Linked DNA regions of Astyanax mexicanus. Each later gene encodes a partner of the first gene's protein in a complex. Links are inferred from orthologs where the notes say so. Each region holds a gene or a part of one and is shown on either strand. Other genes may lie near its edges. The genes, in order: acadm and etfa.

Region 1 (8,041 bases):
CATTAAAAAATAATGAATTACTGTAATTATTAGATTTCTATATTTACAACCACTAAAACAGATAGAATAGTTAATGCTGCAGATGCTCTTTACAGCTAAATAATATTCTGGAGAATAACAGAGCAGCTCGGATCAGATAAACACTCAACACTTACTCCCAGAGAGTTGGCCTCAATAGCCGTCTGGACTCCTGTGCAGCCGTAGGCCAGCTCCTCTGTGATCAGGCAAGCATCGAAACTGGACAGACCCAGTCCCCCTGAAACAGAGACCATATGACCAGTTACCAACCAGAACTGATCTGGAGCTCTATTAGATTCTGTGTTCCAGCGGGTATATCTGTGCAGTGTGAAGCTGCTTTAATACAGAACCCTGAAAATTTGCCTCTGCACTTAGTAGTGAATGCAGCACAGACTGCGAGTGTAAACAGCATGGAGCAGCAAAGACAGTCCTTATTCATAGCTGTGGTAATTAACATTATCTGGCTAATATATCAGATTAAACTGCACCTTATCAGCAGTTTAGCTCAAATAAAAGGAGTATATTTGATAGCTGCGTCGGATCAAGACCGGATTCTGTTCTCACCACAAGCGAACCTCTCCAGAGTTCGTTTGGGATCAGACCAAGACCTCCTCCTCTGGCAGTTTTGCTGTGGTTTTGTTCCACACCAGAGTACTATTACTGTTTTTACACCTGCTTAATCTGCTTAAAAGGGTTTTATAGGATCTACACCTGTAGTCTGTATACAGGCAAAGGCCTGTTAAAAAGGGTGTCGCCTGATAAAGTGGACAGAAACCATATTTACAATATACACAGACGTACCGCAGTCCTCAGGAATGTGACTGTTGATCAGACCGAGCTCCCACGCCCTCCTGATTAGCGGAACCGGATACTGCAGCAGAGGAGACGAGAGGATTAACACAGAATTATTTACTACTTGAATATTAATAAAAGCTAAACAGCTTAAAAAAATAGTGAAAATCATTTAGTATTCAGGTTTTGGCCATTTTTTTTTTTCATTTTGTCTGGTTTCGGCCAAAACGTTTCATTTCATTACATCTCCCATTTAATGGAACTAAACAAAATCAAAGATCATATTTCACAAACTCACTTCACCACTTTTGTCGTACTCCCCAGCGACCGGCAGGATCTCCTCTCGTGCAAACTTCCTGGCTGTTTCCTGGAATTCCTTCTGCTGGTCAGTTAATTCTGTTGATGATCACAGAAAATAGAATTAATTCTACTGTATTTACCAAACACAGACACTCACAGGGGTCGACCAGTCGTGCTGTGCAGTCCGTCCACGTACCGAAGGAGATTCCTCCATGTGACGTTTTCGCTGCACTGGCCGCTCGAGCTGCAGCTCCACTGCTCTGAAACCGCAGACCCGTCTGAACCCCTGTCTGCAGAACCTGCGCACACACAGAACATACAACAAAATTCAATATTAATCACTCTATAGTTTTATTCCAGATCACGTTTGCAAAAAACTCAGACATTGAGTCACTCCTCTCACAGAGTTCGCCAGAAAACATATTTTAGTTCAACATAGGTCTGCAAATAATCATTTTGGTATCTGACTAATCTGAAGGTTATTTCTGCAATCAATTAACTAATTAACGATTATTATTTACCTAAACAAATCATCAATGTGTTTCTGTCCACAGCAATTTGTGTGGTAGACACTGAAATTCAAACAAAATCCTATTTTCTTTCAATTAACATTTTCAATTAGTCCAACTCATCATCACTGCAGCCCTAGTTCAATGACTGTATTATTACAACACTAATCCTGCAATTCTGTTACAGCCTAATAAAGAACCCAGTCCCTCACATGCAGCTCTGTGAAGAAAAACACAGCCAAAGAAGCACATACAGCTCACTAGCTAATGCTAGCCAGTTAGCATAACAAGCTAACACACTGGAGTGACCATAGCTTAGCTCAGCTCTTGATTCAAAAGCTCATCTAGTGATGTCCTGCCTGAAGAAAAATGAGAACAGCACTTTATCTGAGGAGCTCCTGCTGCTGCTCCTCACTGTATTATCAGTAGCCTCCTTTTAAATGCCAGAGCTCTAACAAAGAGGTGTGGAGCGGTGTAGTGGAGAACGGAGGTGTGCAAGTCATCAAATGTAAATAATTTATCATGTTTTTCTACACAAAAATTCTTACTGTGACAGGTCTAACCCTGTCCTTCACTTTGAGTCATTAAGTTCCTAAGCGACATATGGCTACTAAACATCCTGAGAGCATCACAGCACAGTGTGTGGGTGTGTATTTGTTTATCTGACCTTATTTCCAGAATGTAGATGTGTTGGGATAGTGCTGTAGGATATAACTAAGCTCTCCTTTAAAAAGTATATTTTTGATTCTACAGTTGTGTTTCAAACATTTTAACATGTAACCAGTTCTGATCTGATTTGAAGAACAGAATGTTGAAAAATATATATATTTGAAATTGTTGTTAAGGACTTTAACTTAATACATACCGTCATGTGCCCACATTAATTAAAAAACGTGCATGAGCAGCTCAATGATTTTATCTGATTTCATTTAGAATTTTGCATCCATATTCAGAAATATTTATGTTTTTTTCATGGGTTAATAACAACAATAACTCACAGATAATAAATAACTGTGCATCAATTTAAACAAAACACCGAGCATTATTACTCTCATTCTCCCGTCCACCTTAAATAGAGTGCTCACATTGTGGCGTATGTTGCTTTACAGTGTAATATGACTACCTATGTGTTTATTCATCGTTGTGAGCCATTTTTAAAGACAATAACGAAATACAAACCAGACGTAAATCTGCAATAATTCGAATTAAACACAAAAACACCTTAATATAAACCCCAAACTCGACCAGAACAGCTGCACTATTTAAGGTGGAACGGACTCTTGCAAAAACAAGGCGGTAGAAACGAAACTATACTAAGCTTAACCACAAAGCAAAGGCTGCAGAATCTGTTTAAAAGCAATGAAATAAATATATAAAACTCTACCTTTCTGAAAATCAGCATTTTTTTGTGTATTTGTTTATATTGTAATAAGAAATCCGGATCCTTGGGAGTCGCGTCCTGTGCTCTTCGCCCTACAAAAAGACTCTCCAGGCAGACAGCCAATCACAGCCAAGGATGTTTGTCACGTGATCATGTGCCGGGACGTCGGCTCTCTTCGACTACTTTACTTCCAGCCAATCAAATACGGGGCTTTGATCACGTGCTCTGATCCGGCTCCGCCCCCTGTGACCTTAGCCCCAGTTTTATTCTGGCCTACATTGATAGTTGTGTAATTCAGAGGTTATTTAAATTAAAACATTAAACATAATTTATATAGTGCTGAAATTTTACATGTGTTAACATGGACAAATCTGCAGGACTATTATATCTGCGCTTGAGGGTGAGGCTCATTATTGAGTATTTACGAGTAAACCTTTAGAATATAAGAAAATATTTTTTACTTTTTACCTTTTACTTTTTTAATAATAATAATACTGGGTCATTTTTGATTGGAAGGCCATAGACAACAAACAATAGCTTGTGTATTTTAGGACAATACCAAAAATGCAGTTAGGCAAGTTTTATAACAACTGACACATGCAGGTAACCATGAAACTATTCATAAATAGACAAATGAGGAAATACCAGTTCATCAATTCATAATCATAAAATTTCATTAAATTTATATGAATAAAATTAATTGTTTTCAAAATTATGAATATTCATGGGTACACATGGATATTTTGAAACAGATTCTTCATTAGTTCTCTCCAAAATTGAATAAAGGTTCTTCTCCCATGTAAAAAGGAAAGCGATAGCTTTATATCACACTTCATCTTCTCATCTATCTTAGAAAATATGACAAAAATGCAACAAATGTTTGTAACCATTGGTGATTCACATTAGTAAAAAAGGTAAAGCAGCATTTTATACATGTATAAAGATTCAAGATTCACAGCTCCAAATCCATAATTGTGGAATCATATGGAAAAAGCAAATAATAAAAAAGGCAGTGTTTCTTACATATTCTTTACTGAGTTACTATATTCACTAAGGATAGCAAGGGATGAAGTGTTTCAGGAGGTATCCCCCATAGATCACTGTGACATACCACACAGTTCAAATAAGAAAATACTGTGTGAAGCTCTGCTGACAAAAGCTGCAAGTGCATTAACTCATATTATAATAATAATGGACCTTTAATGTTGCATCACAGAAGTGTACTGATACGCCCTCATGCAATAACAGACCCTGACGTTTGGACTTGTTGCTGAGAACAGTCTGGAAGCTCCTTTTAAACTCCAATTCTGACTCATTTGAGCACAATACACTTTCCACTGTGGTATTAGTGAATATAGTAACTCTGTATTGTAGAGCTTGTTGTTGGTGATAAAGGTCATGGTGAACATAATAAGGCTTGTGTTGTGTACAGTAAAGTTTTAAGTGTTATTAGTGCCAAAACATCATATAATTGTTGTGAGAAGAAATGGCAACATTTCAAGGTAAAGTAAAGTAAATGCTTTAGTGTCCCAACTGTTTTTGGTTAAAATAAAAGTCAAAGTAAAGTAAGAAATACTTCACTTTAATTTTATGAGACTTTTCATCCTGTCCATCAGTTGCTGTCCATGTAGGTTTGGGGGGTCCCACTGTTTTTCATGTAGGGGTCTTAGGCTGCGTTCACATTACAAGCCACATTGCTCAAATCCGATTTCTTTTGCTCAGATCGGATTTGGCTATTCTGACGGTTCACATTCACAAATGTAAGTGATCAGTATCTGTGTGTAATGGGAACAAGCTGTCCCTGAAACGGCTTACATTCACAAATTGATACCTGTTTAAACGTCGCCTTCTTCACCACCAACAAAAAAAAAAATCATATTTGAGAGAGCTTCCTAGCTTTATAAAGGGAAATGGATGAGTCAGCAGCTCATATGTGAAACATCTTTTGCTGGAGTGGAGAGTAAACAGCTGATCTGATGTCGAGGAGGTAAAAAGAGATCAGGTGGTTTGCTTTTGCTGTTTTTGCAGCTATAGCTGCACAGCTGCTCAAGAGATGTGTGGGTACGAGAGAGAGGCACGTAGAGCTAATGCTAATGCATAAAGCAAAAAGATGCATGAATTCCGAATTGACAGTTCACATTCATGTCGCATGTCCATGGATCCGATACGTATCCGGTTTAGGACCACATATGAAAGTGACTCAAATCTGATTAAAAAAACAAATCTGATTTGGCACGTTCACACAGCCATTAAAAAATCATATCTGAGCCACACTGAGCAAAAAAATCAGATTCGAGTCACTTCAGCCTGATAATGTAAACATAGCCTTAGGTACAGTACGAGTGTGTATATGCTGTGTAAGGTTGGGGTGTAGCTGCAGTAACAGACATGACCAGCAGAGGTCAGCACACACTCACTCCAGCGCCTACAGCGCCCCCTGCCGGCCGAAATGGTTTGTAGCAGGCTCCTCCTACAGGTTCACTTCAGTGAATGAAGAAGAGTTGGGTTCAGTTAAACGAACCGATTCTTTACCAACTATCCATTCAATGAAACTTTTTTTAATATAGAGCTCTTGTACTTTCACTCAAGTCTAGCTCTATAGTACTTTATACATTCCAATAATGATATTTTGTTTTTTTTATATTAAATAAAATAACTTGACTAATTACAAATCAATTTCATTCATTTACTTTAATTAACTATAATTTAAAAAGAAATGTACTAACAAATTGTTCATAATAAGTTTATAATTAAGTACTAATTATAATTTACATTGCTTTAAATATGTATTAACTTACAATTTGTTTACAGGTTTATAAAATAGTTTTTAAAGTTTATAATATAGTTTAAATTGTAAATAACATTACTTTAAAAAAAATGAAGGCAACAGATTTCCTCAGATTATTTAATTACATTGATTTTACAAATGACCTGAATCGCTCCGATTCACTCACTGATTCTGTTCTAAGGACTCGGTCTAGATAAGCCGATTCGCGGGTGACTCTGAGTCGGATCGGGATTCGTTAGCCGGTGTGACAGATGCTAGCTGTGGGGCTAACGCTTAGTAACTGCTACCTGGAATGTTCCGCGGTTCCGGGGGAGAATAAGCGCTGATTTCCGCGGTTCCGCTGATCCTCTGTTCGGTAGAAGTTTCTGGAATTCCCGCTGAAGAGCGGGGGAGAGAAAGGGGGAGGAAAAGAGGAGAAAGGAGGGATAAATAGCGCTTTTCTGACTGATCTCTAACTCCGTGTTGACATTACCAGACTCGGGCTGGCGGAGCGAAAGCGAAGCGCAGCAGCAGCGGAGAGAGAGCCATGTCTCCCGGGCAGAACCCGCACACTCTGCTGGGGCGGATCCGCTTCCTGAACCGCTGCACCGAGTGCTTCAGGACCGGAGAGCCGCTCCCGGAGAGCCTGTGCTTCGTGCCGCGGGAGGTGTGCTATAAGATCTGTAAGGACTCGTCCAGCAACTCCGGGTCCTCGTCTGCCTCCTCTTCAGCTGGAAACTCTGGAGGAAAGACCCTGGTTCCGGTCTGGGACCACCCGAACCAGCCGCCCACCAGGAAGACCGCCCGGTGCACCATCGAGCCCAAGAAGGGGACCTGCATCCGAACCTCCGGGGAGGAGTACTACAACAGCCACGGCCTGTGGGTCAAAATCAGCAAGGTAAACCTCCACCAGAACCAGCAGCTGAACCCACTCAGTTACCCATTTACTCAATCCTTAATCAACCCTTATTTACTCACCACTTACTTCAATAAAATCTACTCAAAACTCTTATTTACTCCACTTTCATTTTCTCAACTCTTATTTACTCAGTCCTTATTTACTCACCATTCAATTACTCAATTCTAATTTACTTAACCCTTAAAATCTACTTAAAACTCTTACTTACTCGACTCTCGTTTACTCAATTCTCAAAATAAACTCCAAACTCTTATTTCCTCAACTTTTATTTACTCACCCCTCATTTACTTAATTAATAAAATCTACTCAAAACTCTTATTTACTCCACTTTCATTTTCTTAACTCTTATTTACTCAGTCCTTATTTACTCACCACTCATTTACTCCCTCCTTAATCAACCCTTATTTGCTCGACTTTTATTTACTCACCATTCATTTACTCAGTGCTTATTTACTCACCACTCATTTACTCCCTCCTTAATCAACCCTTATTTGCTCGACTTTATTTACTCACCACTCATTTACTCCCTCCTTAATCAACCCTTATTTGCTCGACTTTTATTTACTCACCATTCATTTACTCAGTGCTTATTTACTCACCACTCATTTACTCCCTCCTTAATCAACCCTTATTTGCTCGACTTTATTTACTCACCACTCATTTACTCCCTCCTTAATCAACCCTTATTTGCTCGACTTTTATTTACTCACCATTCATTTACTCAGTGCTTATTTACTCACCACTTATTTACTCAACTCGTATTTACTCAGTCCTTATTTACTCACCATTCATTTACTCAATTCTTATGTACTCAAGCCTTAAAATCTACTCAAAACTCTTACTTACTCAACTCTCATTTACTCAACTCTCATTTACTCAATTCTCAAAATAAACTCAAAACTCTTATTTATTCAACCTTCCTTTACTTATCATTCATTAACTCACCCTGTCATTTTTTCAATCCTCAAAATCTACTCAGTACTCTTATTTAGTCAACTCCTATTAACTCATCTCTTATTTACTCACAACTAATTTACTCAACTTCTCATTTACTCAAACCTCAAAATCTATTCAAAACTCCTAATTACTCAACTCTTATTTACTCACCACTAATTTACTTAACTTTTTATTTACTCAAACCTCAAAATCTAATAAAACTTCTATTTACTCCACTTTTATTTACTCAACTCTTATTTACTCAACTTTCATTTACCCAATATTCAAATGTACTCAAAACCCACCCCAGGTTGGTACATTGATATTTAATGTACTAACCTGCCAAACCTGTACTATTACTATCAGTTTGTGCCTCTTATTACTAGTGTATTGTTTGCGATTGGGATACAGCCTCAGTC
Region 2 (7,328 bases), on another chromosome or scaffold:
AAAAATATTGTATGTAGTGGAGTTGCTTGAAGTGGTGGAACAGATTAGATGTATTAACATTACCGCTGCTGGTCGGCTGCACTCTCCGGCACAATTTGCAGCAAAGCGGCAAGGGAGCGGACCCGCGGCCGGTCTCGAGGACCCGCGGCCGAGCGAGCGGACCCGCGAGCGTTCCCGCGGCCGGCCTCGAGTACCCGCGGCCGGCCTCGAGGTTCCGGGGCCGACCGAATCGAGTCTACCTTAGCCTTGGATCCGCTCGTCCCGGCTCCGTTTGGCTCCAGCGCGAGACATATGTGCTGCGTAGCGAAGCGGACCCGAGCCTAGCCATTTTAACCTAGCCTTGCCTAGCCTAGCCTATTTGGCTACGTGCCTGTGTGGTTACGTCATCACGCACTGACGTAGCCCAGCTACGGGGGCTGAATGTGTTGAGCTCTGCGGCGAGATATCTGATAACTGATATCACCGTTATTGAAACATTTCTTATCGCGATAAATACCGATATCGAATTATTGTCCAGGCCTAATATGGATATTTAATTAATAGTTTACAAGCAAAGACTGGAGGCATGCAATGGTTTATTTAGTGTTGTGTTTAAACCCCGACCACTAGATAGCCGCGTTGTACTCAGTCTTTAGATGCCACTGTTATGATTACCTAAAAAGTTTTACATACTTTAAATTTAAATTAAATTGTGCAAATAAAAATTGCAGAAAATGTTCATCACCACAGAATTTAGGTACATTACCAACACCACAAATGTTTAGCTCTAATGTGTTGCTAGACTTGCACATACATGCTGACATGGCTGTTTTTGCTTGCACTGAAATAAAGCATTCACCTTGGCTTGTCACAATAACTACCAACAACTAACCAACAAGATTATTTTTACAAGCATTTTTGCTCATCTCAATTTTACCCATTATTTTTTATTCATTTATTTTTTTTTAGCAGGGAGAGACTATTAATGTGACTTAATATTTTAACATCAGACCAGCATAACACTATTGTATTAATCTTCTTTCATTAATTGTATTTTAACCTTTTTATAATTCATTTCTAATGTCTGAAAATATTATTAAATTATATATTTTTTATTGTTCATTATTGCTTATTTTTTATTAACAAAAGGTCATGTATTAGTGAAATAAGCCACAGTTGACCTGAGCACTTTTTTCACAAAAAAATTGGCTCACATAGCATTCATTCATACTAGAGACCGCAACTAGACATTTTAAAACGAATGAAAAAAACAATGGAATGAGAACTTTAACCAATACAATGCAATAAATACATCAATAAAAATGCAGCTAAACTGCCTAAGTCTTAAAGAAATACTGTAAAGCATATTTTGGTCATACAACAAAAACTGGGGTTGTTTTCAGAAATTTGATTAAAAAATTCTCATTATAAATATCATAACACCTCCATCATGATATGCACCAGATTCTTGCCAATAAACAGCTCCAATGATGGTAAACACATTTTCAGAAATAAACACAGATAACTCCAGCAGAATATTTGATTAGATAGCACATCTGTCTGCTTCTAGATCTATCAGCAGTTCAGACAGGTACAGTTCAATAGTTTGGGAATGTGCAAGCTAAACAAACAAAGAATTAGGTATGAGGGTGAGGCTGGAAAGTTGCACAACTATTACTAGCTAGCTTATCTAAAAGTTTATAATGTAATGTAATTACCATGATATTATTGGAAAGGCTGTAAACAGTGAACATTATCTGCCTCTACATGTAACTGTATATCTAGTCATGTCAATAAACACTGTATAGTAATTTCTGGCATATACTTTTACTTAATAAAAATGTAACAGAATTTAAATATGTCAGTTCACACTGCAACAAAAGCATATGGAATGGGTCAATAGAAACGCTAAAATAAAATAAAAAAACATCCAATAATTTTAACGATAACATTTTAAGAAAAAAAGCATTTTGATAGTGATAAGATAAGGAACCAAAAGTTGTGCTGACAGATCTTAAAACTGAATTTTGAGTAGCTGCACCTTAGAAGAACCCTTAACCTTTGCCCTGGTTTCACCAGTTTTGTTGAATTATCATTCACACTTTCAATTTCACAATTAATTTAGAAACCTCTCTTGCTTGTTAAAAGCAGAAGCCCTGTGTCACCAGTTCACTAAGTTACACTTAATAAAAACAGTGATTTAAATGTCCGTGATTTTTTTTTTCTTGTTGTATTGTACACGTAGTGTTTCTTTTATATTTATAATCATCTTATTTTGCTGTACTTGCTGTAACTTCAGGGAGGAGAGAATCCTAATCAATCCTCTCTATATCCTTTAAGTAAATATGCAGTGTTGACAATAAAACTACTTGCCTTGACTTGACGTTACCTCGTTTCAAAACAACAAACACAGATTTGTCCTTAGACACACGATGACAAAACGAGCTAAGAACAGTCACATATGGACAGGTAGGCCTTAATTATAATTAAAGAAACTTCAAAATACTTCTAATTATCTAACAGCGTCAGTGTGAGATTTCGTAACGTAAAATCTGTCAACTGCATAACCTTGAAACGAGGCTAACGGCTAACTCAGCTAATTTAGCCTAAAAACCAGCCAGCCTGTTAGCCAGTTAGCTAACCTAGCTAACGTAGAAGAACGAAACTAGCTAACGCTAGCTAGCTCACCTCTGCAGAGGACAGAAGTTAAAGAAACTGGTTGGTTACACTTTTACAGTTAGTAGCTAGCGGGCTAGTTAAGTTAGACAAATGCAGGTCCAGAGTAAAGGTGGGTAACCCAGGTCCAGAAAATCAAATCCATCCCAGGGTTTCTTACCAACTCTCTTGGTAACTCTCTACCAACGTTTTGATAAAGAAGCTGAGCTGCAGCAGAGCCACGCACGCAGTTGGTACAAAAGCCTGGGGTGGATTTTTACTTTTTGGACCTTGGTTACTCACCTCTAGTGAGCTAGTGAGCTACGTTAGCTTTATATTAATCTACATAATTCTTTGTATTTATGCATGTCTTCCTCCAAATTAACGCAAAGCGACTTGAGCGACCACTCTACTCTTTGTACAGAGTGTTTAATTCTTACCAGAGTCCTGAGGTTTGTCTTGTTGACAGCTTTGAGCATGATTACAGCAGCAGCAGCTCCTCCACTCTACTGCAGGACTGAACCGCAGAGCTCACAGGGCCGCGATATCGCGAGAGTTAACTCTGAGCTCCGAGACCCGGCCGCACCTCATATCCGCCGGAGAGGACCGCCCACCCGAGCTCAGTGCTGCTGCCGCCGCTGTACGAGTTCAGTGAGGATCAGCTGAAGACCGCGGAGCAGGTTTCCATCCAGCGGGGGATTTAGTTCCAGCGAATTACTGAATAACTGCAGTAAATCGATAAAGTGATCAGTTCAATGCTCTACAGAACAGTTCACCAGCTCCTTACTGCAGTCACGTTTTCTTTCATTTATACCTGCATTTAACATGAGAAGCGTTTTTAATGTATGATTTCTCCTTGATTAGACAAAGACACGTTTTCTCTTAGCTTAGGGTCTATGCCTAAACTTTCGCCTTTTTGAAATGTAGCTAACATGTTTTAATTAAGTTTCATCGAATACTTTTTTTGTGATTTTATTTAATGGTTCTGTCAAGTGTGCTTACTTAATAAATAATATTAATAGAACGGTGAATAGCTTATCTTTATTAAATAATAATGTAGTATGTAAACACTGTTACAGTATTTATAAGATTGTGACTTACCTTTCAACAGTGTGCGATATGTGAGGAAAAAAGATTTTTCTTCTTTTTTTCTTATTGTTCTTCTTGTTTCTTCTTCTTATTATTATTATTATTATTATTATTATTATTATTATTATTATTATTAATAATAATAATAAATAATGTTCAACTACCCACTTATTTTTCTCATGTAAAGTCAGTTGTGCACCTCTTTTTATATATACGTTTTTACAACAGTACCAGTTAAAGGTTTGGACACACTTCTTTTTTATGATTTTGTAAAATTTCAAGCTACACAGGAACACCATCGGAATTATTTTGTAAACAAAAAGAGTTAAATAATACAGAATATGTTTTATACTTTAGATTTTTGAGGACCGATCTGAACACTCTTGCACTGTAAAAAGTGAAGCATGGAGCTGTTCATTCAAGCTAATAAATATGATTGAACACATAGTACAATTATTGACTTTATTGTGAAACTCAACCTTTTTGAATTTTGATGTGTCAATTTTGATTCAGACTAAATTAATTACAATTCTGAAGGAAATAAACCAAATGTTTTGGTTCCACTGAAATCATACTCGAAGAAAAGAGATAAGGATGTAATATTTTTAATTTGAATCAAACATGAATTGCGCATGCGCACTGTGGAGCACGGGAGAAGTTGTAGAGAAGTGCTTCAGAGCACTGAGGGAGAGAGGGAGAAAGTGCCTGAACGCGCTCGCGAGAGAGAGAATGAGAGAGGGAGAAAGTGCCTGAACGCGCTCGCGAGAGAGAGAATGAGAGAGGGAGAAAGTGCCTGAACGCGCTCGCGAGAGAGAGAATGAGAGAGGGAGAAAGTGCCTGAACGCGCTCGCGAGATAGCAACGCATGCTTATGGTATTGTGGCGTCGGGACTGGAGGGGGGGCGGAAGGAATTATGGGAGCTCACCCTGTTGGGGGGAGTGGGTGTTTTTCTGCGTGTTTATGTTACTGTTTATCCCAGAGTTTCATGTCATGTTTTATTATCACTGTTCTAGTATTATTCATGTAGTTATCAGTTATGTGGTTGTTTTGTGTAAGTGCCTCACCCTTTGTGTGTTTTCTGTGTGTGGGAGTGGGGTTAGCTGCGTTGGAGCTGTAGTTAGTTTCACTTTCAAAAGTGGAATCCCATGTAAATCCAGCTCTTAGTGTCCTCCTCAGAGCAAAATAAAAAGAGCAAGAGAGCACTGAAACGAATCTCGCTGGTAAGCCGTCCTCTTCCACGCCACAGTAACTTCTGGAACTTCTGAATATGCTGCCATGTTTTTTTTAAAAGTTCGGATCAATTTAAATGTATTAGTTTGGTTCCGAAACTGAAATGTAAAGAATTTAACTTGGATCAAGGTGAATAATTAATATTGGGTCGAGTGAAGTAATATGGTTTATGTCAAAATAAAATAATCAGGTTGTAACAATTGACTTTATTTAGATTGAGTGAAGTCAAATAGTTTAGATGCAACAAATGGACATCAATTTTTTTAATTTGAGCAGGGCTACACTTTTTACAGTGTGGTTAATCTGTGTCTTCGTGATGTAGAGTCACCTGGAATAGTTTTCTCAGCATCTTAAAGGAATTCCTGGAGGTGCTGAACAATAGTTGCAGCATTTCCTTCACGCTGTGAAATTCCAGCTCATCACAAATCACCTCAAATCACCCATCTCAGTGGGGTTTAGGTCAGAGGATTGTGGAGGACAAACACTTTTTTGTTTTCAAAGTAATTCCATATGTGTCCCTTTATTGTTTTCAATATTTTAATAAGAATCTATAATATAGAAAATACATTGAATGAGGATGTGTACAAGTTGACTGGTACTATTTATATATTTCTTTAAATTCTAAATAAGCCTACAGCCATGAACACAGTTCTGGCTTAAGCATAACTGTTGTTTAGTAGCACAATTTAACATGTACAATAAGAAAAATAAATTGCATACATTTATTTTTCCTATGTTAAATACAAAAAATCAAAATATGTAATTTTTTCCACAAGATTGCAACTGCCTTTTACTTTTAGACCAGACTGTTTTGTTTCACTTTTTAAATATAGCAAATCAAAACAGAGCTCATAAAAAACAGTCTGTATAATTCTTAGATATAAAGAGAGATTGGGAGACTGTTTGGTAGTTGTACTCTAAATAGCTGTAGGTCTTTTAGCAAAAGGAAATAAATTCCTTTTATTTTTATATATATTTTTTTAGAAATATACCCCTTACATGACAGGGAATATCTCAGGAGTGTTTTTCTGACTCTCTACCTAAATTCCACGTTTTTTTTTTTTATTTTAATGCAAATGTTCAAAACGATTTAGTTACTTTTCTTTTTCATGGCAAGCCCATTTCCTCTGCTATTGATTTCCTCTGATTTATATTACATTACATTATATACATTCATATTAACTAATTATACACAACATCATATACTATTTCAAACGGAGAAGCGTGAAAGTGAATAATTGAAGAGCCTGATTGTAAAAGGTTGTTTTGATCTCAGGTTGTTGTGGGCTGAGCTTGTTTCGCGGTTCAGTACAGAGTCACACTATAAGCTCAGTCTTCAGAAACATTAGAGGTGAGAGTGCTGGAGATCTGAGCGGCTTTGATTGGATTTGAGAGGGCGGGGTGAGTTAGGCTTGTTTTAAAAGACATCTCTCTCCCACCCTCTGTTCCTCCCTCTCTCACTCACTCACTCATGCTCACACCCATACGCGGCAGTGGTCTTGTCCTCCACTTTCAGAAGAGATTTGTTAAGAGTAACATTCCGTTTTCGTTCCCTCGCTGGTTTGCCTCTTTTTTATCATTTGTAAAGGAGTAGTTTCAATTTTTTTAATATTTTGTATTTTTGGGTCTTTTCTCTTCTGATTGTTGACGAAAAAATAAAATAAAAGATCTGTACGTTTTTAGTTCAACATTTAAAGTTTTTGTCTTTTAAGCTTAGTGTTTTGCAGCGTCTCTAAATATTATTGACTATAGAACATACAAGATAGATAGATAGATAGATAGATAGATAGATAGATAGATAGATAGATAGATAGATAGATAGATAGATAGATAGATAGACAGACAGATAGATCATCTTAAAAAATACATATTTCAAAAAAAAATATGGCTCGTAATGGTTCTTTACGATTTAAAAGCTTTTTTAAACTTAACTTTTACAAGCATGGTTCATTATTGAGCCAAAAGTGATTATTCTATAGCATGTATCAAATCAAACCATTTGCAGCACATTTGCTTTGTTAGAAGACTTTTTATTTTATTGTAAGAATGCATAAAATCATTTTTTAGGCGACAAAATTTTATTTTATTTTTTGTATGTATCTTTTTTGTTTGTGTGTAAAAAAAAAAAGAAAGAAGATATTCTCTAATGTAATGAGACACGCTGTGGTGGAGATTATAGATGGGATTGATCTGAGTTAGGGTCGGTGTTAAAGGTCAGGTTGAAGAGCACGCTAAAGGAAGAGCGACCCTCTGCCCGTTCTGGAAACATCTTGAAAAAATAATCCGTACAAATAAATCAGGAAACTTAACTCAAACGCAGTTTCTTTACAAATCCCCACAGGTCCGCTTCTAATGTCCAAATAATTCATGTGTGG

What was found.
Region 2: the proteins of acadm (region 1) and etfa are in contact, whole or in part, in a crystal structure (PDB 2A1T), measured with the Homo sapiens proteins. The link is inferred for Astyanax mexicanus from reciprocal best matches to the Homo sapiens genes ACADM and ETFA. Residues at the interface, in NP_000007.1 of Homo sapiens: Pro163, Lys173, Pro211, Gln232, Arg235, Glu237, Val251, Glu253; in NP_000117.1 of Homo sapiens: Arg223, Lys226, Arg249, Asp253, Ala283, Ile284, Gln285, Glu304.

Annotation. Positions count from the first base shown.
Region 1 is NC_064425.1:41,681,797-41,689,837, reverse strand, and holds the start of acadm (medium-chain specific acyl-CoA dehydrogenase, mitochondrial), read right to left. Parts: upstream 3,133-8,041; 5' UTR 3,022-3,132; coding exon 3,004-3,021; intron 1,410-3,003; coding exon 1,307-1,409; intron 1,207-1,306; coding exon 1,109-1,206; intron 890-1,108; coding exon 820-889; intron 257-819; coding exon 156-256; intron 1-155. Other genes in the region: E3 ubiquitin-protein ligase HECTD3, read left to right, coding at 6,315-6,665. UniProt on the Homo sapiens protein: Medium-chain specific acyl-CoA dehydrogenase is one of the acyl-CoA dehydrogenases that catalyze the first step of mitochondrial fatty acid beta-oxidation, an aerobic process breaking down fatty acids into acetyl-CoA and allowing the production of energy from fats.
Region 2 is NC_064409.1:55,938,709-55,946,036, reverse strand, and holds the start of etfa (electron transfer flavoprotein subunit alpha, mitochondrial), read right to left. Parts: upstream 3,200-7,328; 5' UTR 3,114-3,199; coding exon 3,075-3,113; intron 1-3,074. UniProt on the Homo sapiens protein: Heterodimeric electron transfer flavoprotein that accepts electrons from several mitochondrial dehydrogenases, including acyl-CoA dehydrogenases, glutaryl-CoA and sarcosine dehydrogenase.